2 linked regions of the Astyanax mexicanus genome follow. The protein of the gene in region 1 purifies or fractionates together with the protein of each later gene. This does not show direct contact. Links are inferred from orthologs where the notes say so. Each region holds a gene or a part of one and is shown on either strand. Other genes may lie near its edges. The genes, in order: tmem259 and srprb.

What was found.
Region 2: the proteins of tmem259 (region 1) and srprb purify together in Homo sapiens (affinity purification with mass spectrometry; 3 studies listed by BioGRID and IntAct, counting the BioPlex papers as one, with this or other methods). This does not show direct contact. The link is inferred for Astyanax mexicanus from reciprocal best matches to the Homo sapiens genes TMEM259 and SRPRB.

Annotation. Positions count from the first base shown.
Region 1 is NC_064423.1:18,116,354-18,125,508, reverse strand, and holds the start of tmem259 (membralin), read left to right. Parts: upstream 1-4,961; 5' UTR 4,962-6,171; coding exon 6,172-6,387; intron 6,388-7,543; coding exon 7,544-7,840; intron 7,841-9,155. Other genes in the region: med16 (mediator of RNA polymerase II transcription subunit 16), read right to left, coding at 1-397, 986-1,155, 1,386-1,493, 3,013-3,151. UniProt on the Homo sapiens protein: May have a role in the ERAD pathway required for clearance of misfolded proteins in the endoplasmic reticulum (ER). Promotes survival of motor neurons, probably by protecting against ER stress.
Region 2 is NC_064411.1:41,227,719-41,237,281, reverse strand, and holds the start of srprb (signal recognition particle receptor subunit beta), read left to right. Parts: upstream 1-5,384; 5' UTR 5,385-5,442; coding exon 5,443-5,584; intron 5,585-6,251; coding exon 6,252-6,346; intron 6,347-6,470; coding exon 6,471-6,548; intron 6,549-7,390; coding exon 7,391-7,473; intron 7,474-8,488; coding exon 8,489-8,625; intron 8,626-8,906; coding exon 8,907-8,961; intron 8,962-9,563. Other genes in the region: collagen alpha-1(XXVI) chain, read right to left, coding at 988-1,157. UniProt on the Homo sapiens protein: Component of the signal recognition particle (SRP) complex receptor (SR). Ensures, in conjunction with the SRP complex, the correct targeting of the nascent secretory proteins to the endoplasmic reticulum membrane system.

The sequences.
Region 1 (9,155 bases):
GTGTGACAGCTGGATACTTGTCCCGTCGCACCGGGTCAGTGGTGCAGCGCATAAAGAGCGAGGGCAGCAGTTCTGTATCGATGCGGCACTTCTCGTTCACCACACTCACACACACTTTATAAAACTGAACTGGTGATGAGCTGCTGCCGTCCGTCGCTGCCACCACAATGTTCCCGCCGCCGGTGAAGGCAATGTCAGCAAGAGCCACGCGTCCACGCAGCCGGCACAGGCTTTCGCTGGCTGACAGCAAAGCGCCGTTGGGCTTCAGAAGGGACACGGTCACCAGGCCACTCACGGTCACAGCCAGCCAGCCCTCCATAGGCTTACCGCCGAACAGAGTGAGTGACGGAGAGAACTTCACCCGGGAGAACTTCTCACCAAAGTTGGTGGATCCAGACTGTGGAGTGATAAGAACAGAAAGCAAAATAAAACTTACAGAGCAGAACTGTGTGTAAAATAAAATTGCATTTATCCTTTATAGTTAAACAAGCTGTTTTTTTTGTAACTGTTGCTTTAAATCTGATCTGTAAATCATATATACAGCTCTGGAACGAAATAAGAGACCACTTCAGTTTCTGAATCAGTTTCTCCGATTTTGCTATTTATAGGAATATGCTTGAGTAAAATGAACATTGTTGTTTTATTCTATAAACTACAGACAACATTTCTCCCAAATTCCAAATAAAAATATTGTCATTTAGAGCATTTATTTGCAGAAAATGAGAAATGGCTGAGATAATAAAAAAGAGGCAGAGCCTTTAGTTCATATTCATAAAGTTTAAAGAGTTCAGATGCTGGAGAACTAAACTATAAAACTAAACTATAATGCTGTACTTTAGCGGAGTGGCTTTACTGCTCTTTACAACCTGACTGGTAGAATTCATACATAAGGTGCACTGACATTTTTTTTTTTAATTAAAGAACTTTAAGTGTGCCTTATACTAAAATATATACTAAAAAATGTGGGTAAATTTCTTGCTCTTACCTTCTCCACATGCAGTGCAAGTTTGACCCCATTGTGCAACCATGAGAGAGCTACAATAGGGTCTCCATCAACAGAGCTGCTCTGTATACTTTCCCAGCTGTTCACAAGGTGTTCCTTCATTGCCCAACACTTGATCTCTCCGTCCCCATCAGCAGAGAGCAGTCTGGATCCTAGTTACACACAATTTAATGAATGAAGGCAAAAATTAGATATGAATATACTGCAGCCCTAAAATGAGTGAACATCATTACAATACTCTTTGTCCTAAAATTTCACCTATCAGGGCACACAGTGCTAATCTTTTGCAATATTAGATCATTTAGAAAAAAATGTATATATGAGAGAATGCAAAAATATTGGCCGTTTTACAATTAAATTTTAAACAGTGAGGTTAACTTACCTGACTGGTCCCACTCCAAGCACGAAATAACTTCCCTATGACCCGAGTTGATGGAGTAGACATCCCAGGGGTGTTCAGTGTCAATGATATGAATCATGTGACTGAGTTCTAAAGCAAAAAATGTACTATGTTAAACACTTAGACTGCACTAAGGGGAAAAAATATATATCCATGATACACAAAAGAAAACAGCTTCAACAGAGCAAACCAATAAATGATGAAGTCTCAGGTTTCGTACAAAAAATATATAACAAAATAAGCAATGTAACAACAAAAAAATTTAGCAACAAATCTAGCGCAATACCAAAGTGTGGAATATTTAGTGCATGCATATAAAGTGCAAAACAATTAAACAAAAACAACCCATAAATCTTTCCAGTAAATAGCAACTAATACAAATAACACAATACTATTGCATATTATAAAATATGTAACATCTGTATGTGCAATAGAAGAGGGCTTCTTTCTACATTGTATTGCATTGTGTTCAATTTTTGTGATATCGAAGCATATTTGGATGACATTACTGCTAAAAGAACACTGATGAGCATCACTATTACATTACAGAGAGTTTAATCAGTAATGTTTAACTGGATTATGTGCAGCACAATTGTGTGTATGCTCAAAATATTGCTATAAATAATCAAGGGATCAGAGAACTCAAGGAATCAGAATCGGTAGGAAGAGTGGAGAGGCACACAGTCCAAGCTGCTTGAGGTCTAGTGTGAAGTTCCCACAATCAGTGATGGTTTGGATAGTCATGTCATCTGCTGGTTTTGGTCCACTGTGTTAAATCAAATCCAAAATCAGTGCAATGTTTTCCCGGAAAATCTTACAGCACTTAATGATTCCTAGAGATGCAGATTTCATTTTGCAGCAGAATTCGGCACACTGCCCACACCGCCACAAGTACCAATCGGTCTTATATAATATTCTGATTTTCTGAGATACTGATTTTTGTCATCATCTTCAACTATAGATAATAGATTACTGTGTATAAAACATTTATATAATACAGCTTTGGAAATAATTAAAAGACCACTTCAGTTTCTCTGATTTTACTATTTATAGGTATATGTTTGAGCAAAATGAACATTGTTGTTTTATTCTATAAACTACGGACAACATTTCTCCCAAATTCCTAAATAGAAATATTGTCATTTACAGCATTTATTTGCAGAAAATGAGAAATGGTTAAAATAAAAATAATAACCCTGCTTTTTAATCAAAGTTTTCGTGCATCTTGGCATGTTTTCCTCCACCAGTCTTACACAGTGCTTTTGAATAGCTTTATGAGGATTTCAATTTGGTAAAATCAAAGAAAGTGTTCTCAATTTTTTCCAGAGCTGTATATGAATTTTACATTTTGAACTGAACTACTGAAATAAGGCAACTTTTTAATGATATTTTATTTTTCTGAAATGCAGTAGTATGTTCAGTGGATCTGAAATATGCATAGCTAACTAAAAGTGGTAGACACAAACATAGTGTTAGGCTTAAGTTCTGTACACTGGCTAAAATTCATAGACATAAATGAATAAAGTGTAGAATATAACCTAATATAACTAACTACACTTTATATTAGACAGAGGATAACAGAGAGCACTAGTATAAGGACTCCTCTTACCTTTATCGTCCTCTTCATTTTTCAGGTCTGTTGTGAAGGCGATGAGGTTTCTGCAGGACCAGGCACACACCAGCGGGATGGAGGGGCAGTGGTTGTTTTTGGGTCTCTTCTCCCACTCGCACACATACACAACCTCCATTATTAATACATTAACGATTTAACTAAGATAGATATACTCCTCCAATGTCTCCGGGTTTCATACAAACGCTCAAGTGAACAGAGAGCCATTCAATAGACTCTACTGCCCGGCGTTAGCTAGCAGCTAATGCTAGCTTGTTAGCTAGCCAGCTAACGCTAGCTTGTTAGCTTATTTAGCTAACCAGTTCGTCATAACAAAGCGCAAAATCTCACCAAATTTGATACAAATGAGGGGGAAAAAGCGACGTATTTAGAAAAAATATGTACAATCCACACGGTTCTGAAACAACACAGTTAAACTAAAATAAAGTTTCTGTGTATGGAGATTATACAGTGAACTACAGCGCTGTTGCTGTGTGTATGAGTCTTCCTCTGCAGCGCTGCGCTCCGCCCAGCACTGACCTGTCAGAGCGCCGTTACCGGCCAGGAGTGTAACGACCCTAACCATAAACAGAAACACTAACTGTTAGCTAACTAAGCTAACAGACTAACTAGCTAACTAAATATAATCTATGTCATAAAATATATGGTAACACTTAATAAAATGTCCCGTAACTTCTCTGTATGAACCAGTATTTACAAAATATTTACAAGGTCTGTCTTACTGCTACTTAAATGTAGCTACGAATAAAGTAATGAGGATAACCAGGAACCAGAGAGTAGGACCCGAGTACGAACCAGCACATATAAAATACAGTAGCAATAGTGGAACAATTGGGCAATTTTCCGACATTTAGTATGTAATTACCAAAATGTATGGTATAATCCCTGTATGAGCCTATACATGTGTAACACTAAGAAGCCCGTTACACATATAAAATACGTGCCGGTTCTTATTGGTACTTAAATGCATGTACAACAACAAAAAAGCCCAACCAATAACAAGAAAATAACAATTTCCCAAAACATGTGGTGTATTTTTTTTATTTACCTCCCTAACTTTATTTTTGTATCTTGTATGTACTCATAAGTTATTTGAACTTACACATTTACACACTAAATTGTGGGCTGTATTAAGTGTTACTAAAGGTCTGAAATAAATGTCATTTATTTGGTGCAATTCTATATGTCTAATTTTTGGTAAACATTTTATGTATTTATCCATTGACATTATATAGTTGTTTAAAATTAGGTTTCTACTCCTTTAATTAACTTTTGTGATATATTTTAATTTTCATTTTGTTCTCTATTCAATATAAAGATTTAACTACATTGTTATTAAGTCACACGAGAATAGTAATTAAATCATTATAATAACTCAATTGTAATAACATGGTAACAATGCAACTAATAAATGTGTTGACCGTACTAAAATCATAAAAAATAAAATTAAAAAATAAATGTAAACATCTATGCAATATTTATAGCCCAAAGTCTTTATTAAAACGAAGTAAACTGTATATTATAGTAAAAATCTAATAAACATCTTAGCCTACCATGTTATCCTAAAGTGTCTTCCACTTAGTATGAGGGGGGTTTTCCTTGTTACTGTTGGCATCACTGTGGTGCACTGTGTGTGGTTTTACAAATGTTGTAAAAAGCGCTATATCAATATAATTTAATTTAATTTAATTACCAAACTGGGGACAAGCCCTGAACTGTGGAAATTAGTTCAGTGAAGGACGGCTATTAAAATTAACGTCACATTTTGTTTTGACTTGACGCATAATAAATTACCTTAATAATTCATGCTCTTGACACAGACCATTGTTTTAAAAGGGTAGAATCAAATTGATTAACTGAGGATCTAGGCGATTTTGCCACAGGTGTGTTTGTAGTCGTCCCGCGTAGAGGTGGCGCTGTATCTGAGATCAGCCGCTGAGTCCGGGTCTAACACATCGGCATGACTGTCTTTGCCAACCGCTCACTTTCTTCGCTCTCGTCACTCCTGAAGTACCCAAGTACGCCTTGATTAGAAAAGGGTCGTGTAAACAGGGGGACCACAGCGAGAGGATACAAGTTCTTGGCAGCTTCTGTCGGAGAGGAATCCCGTGGGATTGTATTTAGCGTCGTTACGGTTCCGTGTGCGGTAGAGGGAGAGTGAGTGTCAGGATCTGTGTTTAATAGAGAAGCTGATCTGAGGAGCAGCAGATCATACGGCCTCTGTGTGCAGCTAGCTGTACGTCAGACTGAACTGTAGTTTAGCCTAGCTAGCTAGGTTAGCTGCTAGTTTAATAAGCAACAGGCTAGCGGGCTATGCTAGCAAGTGGCATCGAGTTTAGTTAGCTCTTTTTAATTTAGCTACATTTCAGCAACACTGACAGACTCTGTTAATTGACCTGGAGTATTTAAATCAGTTAGCTTAGCTAAGATAGTTAGCTTAGTGGTAAATGGAGCAAACGTGAGCTAGCGAGGTTGTAGCTAGCGTAGCTAGCTAACGCCTGGTTAGTTGGGTTAGTAGAGTAGTAGGGCCAGGTACAGTTTACTTAGCGCTAGCTAGCACGTATGCTAAGCTAGCTAACGCTAGTTCGGTGTTGTTCATCTTATTAAGGCTGACAAAGCTATTTAGCTAAGGATAGACCGAAATAAAAACAGAAGAAGACTAAAAAAACAACGTCTACGGAGTGTGACATGCCCCCATTCAGTAGTTAGCGGTAGCTAGGTTAGCTAATGCTAACTGAGCTTGTTTTTACAAGCCAGCAAACTCGTAGCGATGTCATGAGACACACATATCCAAGATAACTAGGGCTAGCTCAGTCAAACGACGTAGGCTGGATTATTAAGAAATTTGGTGCAGTTTATAACGTTAGTTAAAGTACATGCACAGACTGTAGTGCACAAGCTAGCAGACTAGCGCTAAATAACCACACTAAGATAGCTAATGTTTCTCAGTTAACTAGCAAACCCAGGTTAGCTAATTACAGCCACCCACGTTAATTTGTTAGTTAGGTAGCTAGCTAGCATTAGTTAACTAGGTTAAGTGGCAGTACTGTTAATTATCAGTATCTGCGTATGTCGCTCCCTGTCTGACCTACATGGCCATCAAATTTTCGCACTAAACTCGTGGGACTGGCGTTAGACATGTCAGACAACCAGGGAAACCTAAACAACAACAACGTGCCGTTGAACAACAATGGCGGTCCGAACCGAATCCGCAACCCGAACATCAACCAGAACCCCCTCATCAACGTGCGGGACCGCCTCTTTCATGCCCTCTTCTTTAAGATGGCAGTCACCTATGCCAGGCTATTCCCACCGTCCTTTCGGAGGATTTTCGAGTTCTTCGTGCTTCTGAAGGTACGTGTCATTTGTTTACCCCGTACCCTTTTGGACCTGAGCCCATATTTGTTGAGCATTTTAGCTACAGTGAGAACACTATATATACAGTATATACTGAGAATGCTACCTTAGCTAATCCAAGTTCAGGCCTACTTCTGGTTATAAATTAGCAGTTTAAGCCTTCTTTGACATCTTGAATTGAGATATTCCATTTAAGTATAATCTATAACTAGGCTTTATCCCTGTTTGAGAAGCTGCCCCTCACTCTTCTATGAAAGTCACAGTGTAACTTGACCACAGATACACTCTGTAATTCTGTAATTAGACATAGAGGACACGCCAGGCTTTCATATTATGAATAAAGGTTAAATGTTGGTGTGCCTTAACAGATTGATCTGGATTGAGATGGCACAATAACATATTTTAAAACACGTATTCTGTGACTGCTACATTCAAATCTGCAATATTGGCCAATTAACCCATGCAAAACTGTATGTTAACTATATAGATAATAATGTTTTTACTGACTATTAGTCAAAACAGGACCTGTCATGTTAAAATGTTGGCTGCAAATCAGAAGTCAACACTTATCTCTGCTCAAATAGAAATTGTATGTGTAAAACCTGCCTATAGGTGAGGAAAGCCACAGAGGTAAACATGGTACACTGTCAGAAATAGACAGAACTATTGTACAGAGTGCTATCCAATGAAAAACTAGTATTTTACAAGAGAGATATGAAACCACCTTTCCAACTTTCAATGGAAGTTAGTTTGAAAAGAGTTAATTTCAGGCAATAAAGAAGAATTTCTTTTGGTCCATCCATCAAGAAATTTTCACACAGTATAAGGGACAGTTTGTGTATTCATGTTTTGTAGTAAACTAAAAATCAACAAAAACGCTTGTTGGTATCACCCTGTGACAGTTTTGAGCTGCTTTTTCTAGAGAGCTCCTGAGTAAAGGGACTTAAGTTCTGGCCGTTTAATCAGGAGATTGCAGGTTTTAATCCCTGATGATACCATTGCCAACTATAGCCCTGTTCCAAAGGGGTCCAGGGGTCCTCGTGTGCATGTACCCACAAGACCCGTAAGGATGTGTGGAGTGTCCCATTTTTTTTATTCTGCTGAGCTAAAGAATGTTTACCTACTGACATCAATCACATCCTCTCATTTGCAGGCTTTGTTTGTGCTGTTCATTCTGGCCTACATCCACATCGCCTTCTCCCGATCACCCATCAACTGTCTGGAGCATGTGCGTGAGAAATGGCCACGTGATGGAATCTTGCGCGTGGAGATCCAGCGCAACTCAAGCCGTGCGCCCATATTCCTGCAGTTTTACGAGACGGAAGGATTCCAGGGGCTGGTTAAAGAATCCAGTGGAGATACAGAGGACACCAGCCGAGCTCCTGTTCATCAAGAAGAGGAGGAGGAGGACGAAATGACCATGGAAATGTTTGATAACAGCTCTGTTAGGGTAAGTAAAAGGAAAAACACATGCAGGCACTTGTTCTGTTTTAGGGCAGTGTTTTCCAGTCCTGGGTGAGGGGAACATACATATTTTAGTGCATTTCCTTCCTAGGTAAACCTTTGGGACAGTTTCCTAGATGGGGATTAAGCCTAGTCGTGATCTACACAGTATTTTGAATGGAGATTGTATATTAAAAGGTAAATCTAGTCATAGGGAAATTGCCCTTTATTTATGTGTTACAGCAGAGAAAACAAAAAGACTGGACATATTTTAAACACTAGAGTATTTGTTTTTGTCTTTTATGTCTAGGAATATTCTCTTTTATTAAGACTAAATTTAAATACTTTTATATAAAACTAGAGATGGCACAGTACTCCTTTTTTCTATTTTGTTGAAATGCATTGCCAAATATAAACACACACTTAGGAGGTGTTTGTTTGTTGTTTGGTTCTCTTGGTTCAGACCAAGCAAGACAAATGTTTCATGGTTGCATTTTAGTCCCAGCTTGCTTTGTATTCATCCTAGCATACTGGATCCTGGGTTAATTTTCTCTTTTAAGGGGGGTGGGGTCCTCTGTGATTTTATTCCCATCCGGAATGATCATGTATGTGGTTTTCAGACGTCCTCTGAGAAAACTACAGACTGAATTACTTACTAGTAGTAATAGTAAAAGCCAGTTAACTCACTGGTCCTCCTGTTTTTTCAGTTGTAGTCCAGATGCAAGAGTTTTATCACTGAGTAAAAGTGTGAAATATTAATCACAGGCGCCCCCTGAAAAACTAATCTCGTCCTGATAGGGCTTAAGATCACTTTTTGATATGAGGATGATAGAATAAGTTTTGCTGATTAATATAATGTGTAACAATGTCTGTATGTCTGTAACTTTAAGGCAACAGCATACACAAGTAACAGGTGCTATTGTAATAGACATTAGTTTTGTGTTGTGTGGTGGTGTGTGGTTTGTGGTTAAAGCTTTAGACAGAAGAAGCTTCTTGATGAAGTGGGCAGATGAGGACTGCATAACAGTGGAGCGGAAGGCAAAGAATTGATCGTACATTTTGCAGACAGTCGTGACCCCGTGCTTGTGCACAAATATAGCTTTACCATAAAATACAGCAGTAATGTTTTCAGGCAATATGAACATATGTAAACAGTGGATATCTCCCAATGCTTGATCTAGCATTTTTATTGATAGTAAGCAGACACAGATAACAGATATGGGAAGTGAGAGCAGATGTAACAGCAATTGATTTGCTCAACTGCTTCAGGATAATGGTTATTGAATTTCCTCTGGGGAACACAGCTCACACAGGATTGTTTA
Region 2 (9,563 bases), on another chromosome or scaffold:
GAACACAGTAAGTCAGATTCCCAGACATGAATCAAGCCTAGCTCTCGTTTACCTGTTAATTTTTTGCTTTCAATAGGAAATCTACAATTAAAATGCTGCTTAGTCCAAGGCTTGTTGCTGAATTTATTGAATGCAATTAGAAGGGGTCCCTGACTACTGTTGCCAAACAAAACCAAGTAACATCATGCAATTTTTTCAGTTCTTGACTAACATAGAACATGCTGCATTTGACTGTGGTCATGCTTGTCATGCTGGTTGACAAGTTTGGTCTTACTGGTCTTGCTTGTCATGCAGGTCTTGCTGGTCAACCAACTTGGTCAAGCCGTTCAACCATATTGGCTATTCTGGTCAACCAGCATGGTGAGACTTGGTCATACTGGTTGCCTATCTGGGTAAGCTAGATCATGTTTGTAGAGCAGCTAAACCATCAAACTAGTTAAGCTGCTCGTCATGCTGGTTGACAAGTTTGGTCTTGCTGGTTTTGCTAGTCATGTTGACCTTGTTGGTCCACCGGCTTGGTTTTACTGGCCAACCAGTGTGGTCAAGATTATTTTTCTTGTCAACCAGCTTGGTCAAAGTGGTCTTGCTAACCAAAGAACTTGGTCAAGCCGGGCAACTATATTGGCTATGGCTGGTCATACTGGTTGCCTAGCTGGGTGAGGTGGATCATGTCTGTAGACCAGCTAAACCATCAAACTAGTTAAGCTGCTTGTCATGATGGTTTGACAGGTTTGGTCTTGCTGGTTTTGCTAGTTATGCTGGTCTTGTTTATCAACCAGCTTGGTCAAGTTGGTTTTGCTGGTCAACCAACTTGGTCAAGAACAAAAAAATAACATATGCTTGTCAAAACCATATTGACCAGCTTGAGTTGCACATGCTGTTATTTCCAGCTGTTTAAAGAAGAAAACTGGTTTCGATTCTTATATGGCTACAAAAACATAATAACGTGTGTGTGTGTGTGTGAAAGTGTGTGATATGTGTCCATACCTGCGCTGGGAGTTAATAGCCGCAGCTGGAGGTCCAGCACTTTGTTCAGAGTTCACGTGCTGCACCGTTAGTCCGTTAGGGAACTGGTAGATGAAGCCGGTTCCGAGAGAAGGTCCAGTCCAACACGCGAGGATGCAGCACACGGAGAGCCATAGCGCGTGCCGTGACATCGCTGCACCAGTGCTGAAGCCAAGCACACCGCCTGGATCCCCGCGCGCTCCCGTTCAGCTTCACGGAGCAGAATGCGCGCTCTCGGTTCTCCACTGCTGTCGGTGCAAGTTCTCGGCTGGAGGAAGCCAACGCAAAGCAGAAGACCGTCAGAACGCGCAGACCAGACCATTCAACACATGAGGAGAGTCTGAACTAAAAAAAAAAAAAAACTCTCGCGTACCCCCCGCGCGCGCACACGCACACACACACTAAAGTTTGTATTCCTGTCTTTGTGGGGTGTTATAGTATAGTATATCCCACAGGGTGATAAACAGCCTAGGAACGATAATGATTTAATAGCATTATGTGAGTAAAGACATTTGTGTGACTTTTATGATGATAAAAAGCTATTTACCACGCGTTTATTTTACCTCAGAATGAAATACACACATTTCTCATACTAATTCACATACTAATGTAACATTGGATAATTTTCCTCAATAAATAAATTAGTATTTTGTCTCATTTGTTTAACAAGGTTCTCTTGATCTTTTTCCTTAAAGACTTGAAAATCTGATGTTTCAGGTCATAATTATGCAGAAATATAGACAATTCTAATAGGTTTACAAACTTTCAAACACTTACTTTTTATGACGCCCCTAAGGTGACATCATGTAAAAAAAAGTGTGGCCACGACTTATTAAAGAGTATGGCATGGGAAGGAGATCCTAATGTGTGGGAACTTGATTATTACGGCATGGGAACGAGATCCTAATGTGTGGGCACGACTTATTAAGGCACAGGAACAAGTTAATTTAATGATAGACATTAAGGCTTGGCCACAAGGTCCCTTTTTTCACAGCTAACAAAGAAAGCAGCTCTCAGGGGTTTCGCACAACATGACTGCCCAAGGAAGATAAACTGATGAGTTTCTTCATGGGCATTTATTTACAGAAATGTTTTATTTTCCCACACCTTAATAAGTCGTGGCCACGCACTAGGTTCTCATTCCCACACCTTAATAAGTAAAGGTCAACAATATATCACCTTAGAGGCTTTTTATATTTTTTTAAAGAACTCAATAAAATTGTAGTTTGTTGTCTTCTATCTTTACAGCAAGAAGCTTCAACTGCACTGATTAATTTCCACTTTTCAAATCTTTTTTTAGGTCAGGCATAAAAACAGGAGGCCTTAAAAAACAGGAACCCGTGCCTTAATAATGTTGAAGTAAAGTGTTTAGGTAAAATTATGAGGTAAAGCCGCGTTGTTTAACAGAACCAAGGCACTCAATCTGAAACTCTTTCTGACATTACATGCACTCGACCCAAATATTACTAACAAATATTCGACTCTGAGACGTGCTTTAAGTCAAAGAATCGACTCATAATTAACTACAGCGTGGCCAGTTCCTTACGCTAATGAAACAAATTAAACTCCGATATTTTCCAAATAAAGATATTACGCTTAAGAAGGATTACTATTAAGCTAATAACACGAGGAAACGGCGTCTTGTAAAAAAAAAAAAAAAAAAAAAAAAAAAAAAAAAAAAAAAAAAAAAAAAAAAAAATTTTGCCTCAAACGATCACGGTACGTACTAATGTAACAGCTACCAGGTGTTGATTATTAGTAATTAGGGATTCCTTCGTCACCTGATCAGGCGGTAGGAACGCATAAGAGGAGCTCGTTTGAGGTGACTACGGTGTGTGTGAGACGGCTTGTGAGATTTCTTATCAAAAAAAAAAAAAAAAAAAAAAAAAAAGTGAAAAGAAGTCGTTAAGTTAAAGTTTATTATTTTCATTATGTGGTTTGAACTCTGTTACCAGTGTGTTTGCATGATGTTTGGTTGATGGAATGATACAGGTAACGTTAATTGCGCGTATTTCGATTAAGTCTTTTTGAAGATAGAATTAGTGTGATAGCTAGTGGTTTAAGGAGGCAAGGATGATTCTCTTTGTTTTACTGGTCTGAAGACTCTAATGCTGACCTTAATTTGCTGCTTGTGTGTATATGTTAAAGGACTAAAGTGTTAAATATAACTTTTTTAACCTCAAACAGCACACACGTACTTTTAGTTTGAACCGATATGTGAACATAATTTGTGTAGAATGTGATTTCCACAACGCTGACATCCATTTAAACATTTTAGGCGCACTTGTTTTAACAGCAGTTTTATTACAGTTTAGTTTTTTTTTGTTTTTTTTGAGGTTATTGAAACCAATAACTATAAATCTGTGAATAATATGACAATCTTTAGATCTGTCTGGTTGGATGCTTTTGTCTTTTACCAGCTTTGTTAATGTATAGATCTTTTCCTTAATATTAAGTAGAATTAATACATGCGTTTAAAAAAATTGCGAAACGTGATTAGCAAACCGGTGATTAGCAACATGATTCAAACCACGCAAATATTCTGCTGCTTCAGAATTTAAACTTACTTAAATACCTGTTTTTAATGATGAGACTTTGCACTTAATTGAGAACATTCTTCTGCTTTAGTTTTGTGGTCGGCTGTGGACGTTTTTCAATTAAAATTATAAGATTGATTTATTGCACTTGAGTTGCCACTGATGTGTAAATGTTACTGCTTTCTTTCTTCATAAAATAAGGTTTAAATGACTGGTATGTGTAAAACTTTAAAGACTTTGGGTGTTTCACCAGCAACAGTATTATCTGGTGAAGTCTGCCCCTGCAAAGACAAATCATAGTGGCTGCTGGTGCTCTTCGGGTTCTCAGATGGCATGGTAAAATCAGACATTATTCTATATACTGTAACTCACTATATATCTATACTCCCAAAAAGTACTAAACGCAGTTCTCTCTGCTGTAATCCGCCAAGGCAAGTTAAAGCTGTGTTCTATAACGAAACCATATGTCAAATTTAGACCTACAAAGCTGAAGGCCTTCATCTTAAGATGGTAAACAGGGAGAACTCTGGGCCAGCATAACAAACCTGGTTAATGATATCTAGTTAGACAAATCTGCAACGTTTGTTAATGCCGGTGAAATCAAATTTAAATAAAACCACAGTCTCTGTGCTGGGGTAAATGAAGCTAATTGGCTAAAAACTGTATAACTATTTGTCCAGTACATTCCTTTAACTTCAGATAGTAAAATAAAGTACTTTGCCCAAAATACAAAGAAAACATACCTATATATTTTTTTGTTTTCTACAACAAACCTTTATAAATTGATTTTGCTCGAATGCTCGATATGAACCCATTCATTTTGGACCCGGCAGCGCCCTCTGGTGGTTAAACAAACTCCGAAGAGATTCTTAAGTGAGTATTCTCTCCTCCAGCATCAGCTCACCAGTTAGCTCAGTAGAAGTGATGCTATAGCATCCCAGTTGCTTAAAAATAGTTTTCTGTTGAAAATGAAAAATATATGTCTATGTATGTGTGAAGAAGCCGTTGTCAAAATACTGAGTGTCAGAAATGCAGCTCTTTATTTGGGAAAACTGAACTCTCACTAATAGCACTTAGAAGCACATGGAGGTATCTATCCCGACTGCCCACAAACATTAAACTGAGCCAGCCCTATCTACGGAGTGTGGTTCACCCTAACGGTGACCATCCAACATTTCCCCAACACAGTAAATACAAGGCATAACAACCTGATAACAGCCACTTCTACTATTAATAACTACTACATTTCCGTAAATAAGAGCAGAGTGTAAGGGGGGGGGGGGGGGGGGGGGCTTGCATCGTAGAAACACACACACACGCAGCCCCTCCTCCTTGCACTCTGCTGCAAACACAAGAACTCAGTGGTGTACTTACAGCTTTTTGGCGGTCGCCACAATATATATATTTGTATTACAAGCAGAGCTATCTATTTTAAGTGTTTATTTTATTTTATTGCTAATGACTATGCTTTAAAGACCCCAAAATTATATTAGACCAATTGGCACTTTTGGCAGTGTGGGCAGTGTGCCAAGTCCTGCTGGTCAGTGATGTTTTGGAGAGTCATCATCTGCTAGTGTTGGTCCACTGTGTTATATCAGGTCCCAGGTCAGTGCAGTGTTTTATCGGTAAATCTTACAGCACTTCATGCTTTCCTTGGTCTTATATAATATTCTAATCATCAACTATAAAATTAATCAATGCAAAAAAAAAAAAAATAGATCAATCAAGCTCCCATTCATTTAGGTCTCATTGTTGGGCTCCTTCTAGTAGTTAGAGGTAATATATATATTTTTTCAGGTATCGGACTCGGTGTGTGTACTGCGCATGTGCGCGGGCGCTGTAAGTACACGTGTGTGTTCAGTGCCTCAGTGACAGAAGCAGCAGCAGCAGCACCGCCGCTATGGAGGAGAAGATTAACCTGGATTTGGAGGATTTTTCCTCCGAGCCGTTTCTGGACTCGCTGGTTAAAGAGTTTATAGAACAGGACCCTGCTTTCCTAATCGGGGTGTTCGTGGCTTTAGCAGTGGTTATAATAACAGTAGGTGAGTGTGCTAAGCTAACGGCATCGTTTACTGGTGATTTTACCTGATCTGTAACGCGAAAGGATAGACTTGTATATGCGGCTAATGATGGATCTGAGTAGCAGGTCGATCCGCGTTATTGTAAGATCTGATAAAAGTGGCTTCCTAACAAAATGACGTGCACTAGCTTAGCAATTAGCTAGGTTGGCTAAGCCTAGCTTAAAAATAAAAGTATTTTATAGCGTTTTATGCACATTTTATGCAAAAGTCTGGATTATTTTGTAGTTAGATAACTTAAAAAATAAGACTGGTGTTTAAAAATGTTCCACTGTAAAAGCATTTATAGTTTTTTCATTGCACATTTCATGCAGAAGTCTGGGTTATTTTGTAACGTTAGTTAAATAACTTCAAAATAACTGACTGGTGTTTTAGAAATTTCCACTGTAAAAACATTTTATAGCTTTTTGCACATTTTACACAGAAGTCTGGATTATTTTGTAGTTAGATACTTTTAAAAAATAAGACTGGTGTTTTAAAAAAATCACTGTAAAAGCATTTTATAGCTTTTTATTGCACATTTTACACAGAAGTCTAGCTTATTTGTAGTTAAATAGCTTTGTTGTTGTTAAACCAGGCCATGATTTATTAAACACGTATTAAAAAGCTGCTATTTGTGTGTTTTTTTCAGTGTTATTTAAGTTTCTGTTCAGTACCAAGACTAAAAGAAGCAGTGTGCTGCTGGTGGGTTTGTGTGATTCAGGGAAGACTCTTCTCTTCAGTAGAGTGAGTGTTTCTTTAACCTTTTCTTATACCCCCTATACCTTATATTATTATTATTAATAACTGCTTATCCTAAAGGACTGCTTAATCTGTAGCAGGGTATAACTGGTTATTTCTGTCTCTCCAGCTCTTGGCAGGGAGATTCACAAACACTCAAACATCCATCTCTGAAAACAGTGCAAACTATAAAACCAAAAATGAGAAGGTAAGACCATAATGGTGACAAAACTCACTACTACCCTGCTGAGTTTAACCCCAGCTTTACCCCAGCAGCTAGTTTCAGGTCCAAGCTGGTCTGTGATGAATAAAATGGACCAGATGTATGGATGGGAATTTGGCCATTCAGGTAAAAGTGGATGTCTAAAGGTGGATTTACACCTGCCTTTTTTAGTTTGGACTTTCTGATTTTCACTTTGGACCAAACCAAAATATCAGGTGTGAAAGGGGCCACGGACCTCGGTCTGGACCAAAGAATCAAAATGTGGTAAGACAAAGGGTGTTTTTACACCTGAAAGTTCAAACCCAAGTCCAGACACCAAGGTTTGTGTGTTAGTTACATTGTATTCTGTACAGTTGGTCCAGTTAGTTTTGGTTTCACACTACAGTTTCACACTACTGCGTCTCACTGCTGTCAGAGGCACACTGCTCAGACCAGTCAGCTCTCCCTTCTGACCTGCCCCTAATCCCATACATCACCCGGTGCCCCTCCCAAACTACTCTTCCCATTTTTTATTTATTTTTTTTAAGCATTTTTCACATTTGAGCTGAGGGTGGAGTCAGCAAAAATCAGAGGGTTTAGTTACCTGTTAACCACGCCAGAGATAAAGAAGAATTGGTGTTGTGCCGAAATCAAACTCCAAATGTACACAGTGTAACAAAGACACAAACCTTGGTGCCTGGACCTGGGTTTGAACTTTCGTGTGTAAAATTGCTCTAAATGTGGACAAAACCAAAGAGATGTTTGTTGACTTCAGGATAAGCGTATAATATGTCCTATAGCATAGCATTCTCATTGACTCATGTTTGTGTCTGTCTATTTGTGTGCAGGGTACCACCTGGACTCTTGTTGACCTTCCTGGCCATGAAAGTCTGAGGCCTCAGTTTTTGGAGAGGTTTAAGGCTTCTGCAAGGTACATACAGTGATGGGTTAAATAGAGATTGCTTTTTTTGGTGTAAAGTTCTAGAAACATCACTGGAGTGGCATTGGCCTATTAGTGGGTGTTGTGCTGGTTTGGAAGATGGATGATCACAAGCCATCAAACCAAGCCGAACTGTTTAAGTTTTGCACCAGGAGTGGCATAAATTTATCCAAAAGCAGTGTGTAAGACTGGTGGAGGAGAACATGCCAAAATGCATGAAAACTGTGATTAAAAACCAGGGTTATTCCACAAAATATAGATTTCTAAATTCTTAAAACTTTATAAATATAAACTTGTTTGTCTTTGCATTATATGAGGTCTGAAAACTTTGCTTCTTTTTTGTTATTTCAGCCATTTCTCATTTTCTGCAAATAAATGCTCAAAATTACTATTTTTATTTGGGAGAAATGTTGGCCGTGGTTTATAGAATAAAAGACCTATTTTCATTTTACTCAAACATATACCAATAAATAGCAAAATCAGAGAAACTGATACACTATGGGACGGTTTCCCGGACAGGGATTAAACCTAATTCTGAACTACGAAGGATTCTGTATGGAGAGTCTCTATTAAAAGAACTCTATATGCACAAATGTTTGTGGACACGTCTTCTAATGAATGCATGAAGGTCCTCATGCTGCACCCAATGCCCGACATGCAGTAGACAGCCTTCCCTTACAGTAGAGACAGATACTCTTAACAAAATCTATTATTATTATTATTATTAATAATAATAATAATAATAGTAGTAATAAAAATAATTATAATAATATAAATATATTTTATTATTATTATTCTAATATAATTTTTTTATTATTATTATTATTTTTTTTTATAACTACTATTCATCTCGAAAAAAACAATGAATGGGCAGGTATCCCAGTACTTTTGACCATGTAGCATAGTCTTATTTCTAATCTAATTTCTAATCTGATCTTAGTCATTATGAATTAAAGACACTAAGCCTGAAACTCAGAATTTAATGTAATGCTTCTTGTGACCCTAGAGCGATAGTGTTCGTGGTGGACAGTGCAGTCTTCCAGAAGGAGGTGAAGGATGTGGCTGAGTTGCTTTACTCCTTGCTGACGGACAGTGTGGTGACCAGGAATGCCCCAACTCTGCTGATCGCGTGCAACAAACAAGGTACGAGCACACTGTTGCACCTAAAACTGATGCATTTAAAATCCCCCACACACTCATCTCTTTACCTCGAGTGGTTTATGATTCATGTCTTTGTTCATTTTTGATGTAGTAGGTGTTCTGTGGTTATTTGGCCTTTAGCCTTCAGCACAGTTGTGTGGGCTCTGTGGGTACCTCATATACTGCAGACTGTAATTATAGAAATGTTTAGATGATATTAGTATTGATATAAGTAAAAAGTGTTGAATATTTATTTATTTTTTCACTTCTCTCTTTAATTGTAGATATTACAATGGCGAAGTCAGCCAAACTGATTCAGCAGCAGCTGGAGAAGGAGCTGTGAGTGTTTTACTTTTTTTATTACTTTATTTCTGCTAACAATGAACTCTATGAACAAACTATTAATGTTAGATTTTATTTATTATAATTGTTGAATAGCAATTAGGAACAAGCTTTAATCACATACTTCACTGTACTGCATTCAGAAAAGAACAAAAAGATTTGTTCTGTATAAGAATAATAGAATCTTCTGTAAGTTTTTGTTTTCTGCTCTGAATACATTTTATATAAAAATGTCTATACAATTTGGTACATATCTATTTATATTTACATATTTTCAATATATACACACATTGTTTCTTCTGAAATGAAGGGTGTTAGAAAAAGTTAATCTCAGTTTTGTTGACTTTGATAGCGGGGATTGATTCCTATTTGACCAAAAGAGGTCTTGGTCTGCATCTACTAAACCATGGTCCAGTTCTCCAGCAGCATAAAACACTTTTCTAGTTGGTTAATCATTTTCAGGCTAATTACAGGAAGTTAAGCCAATCTTTATTCCAGAGGAAAAAAAGAAATCCAAATCCCCTTGGTGTGCAGGTGCGTCACACAAACACAAACGCTTAAACTGGCAATTCATTAATTTACTGTAACAGTAAATTAAC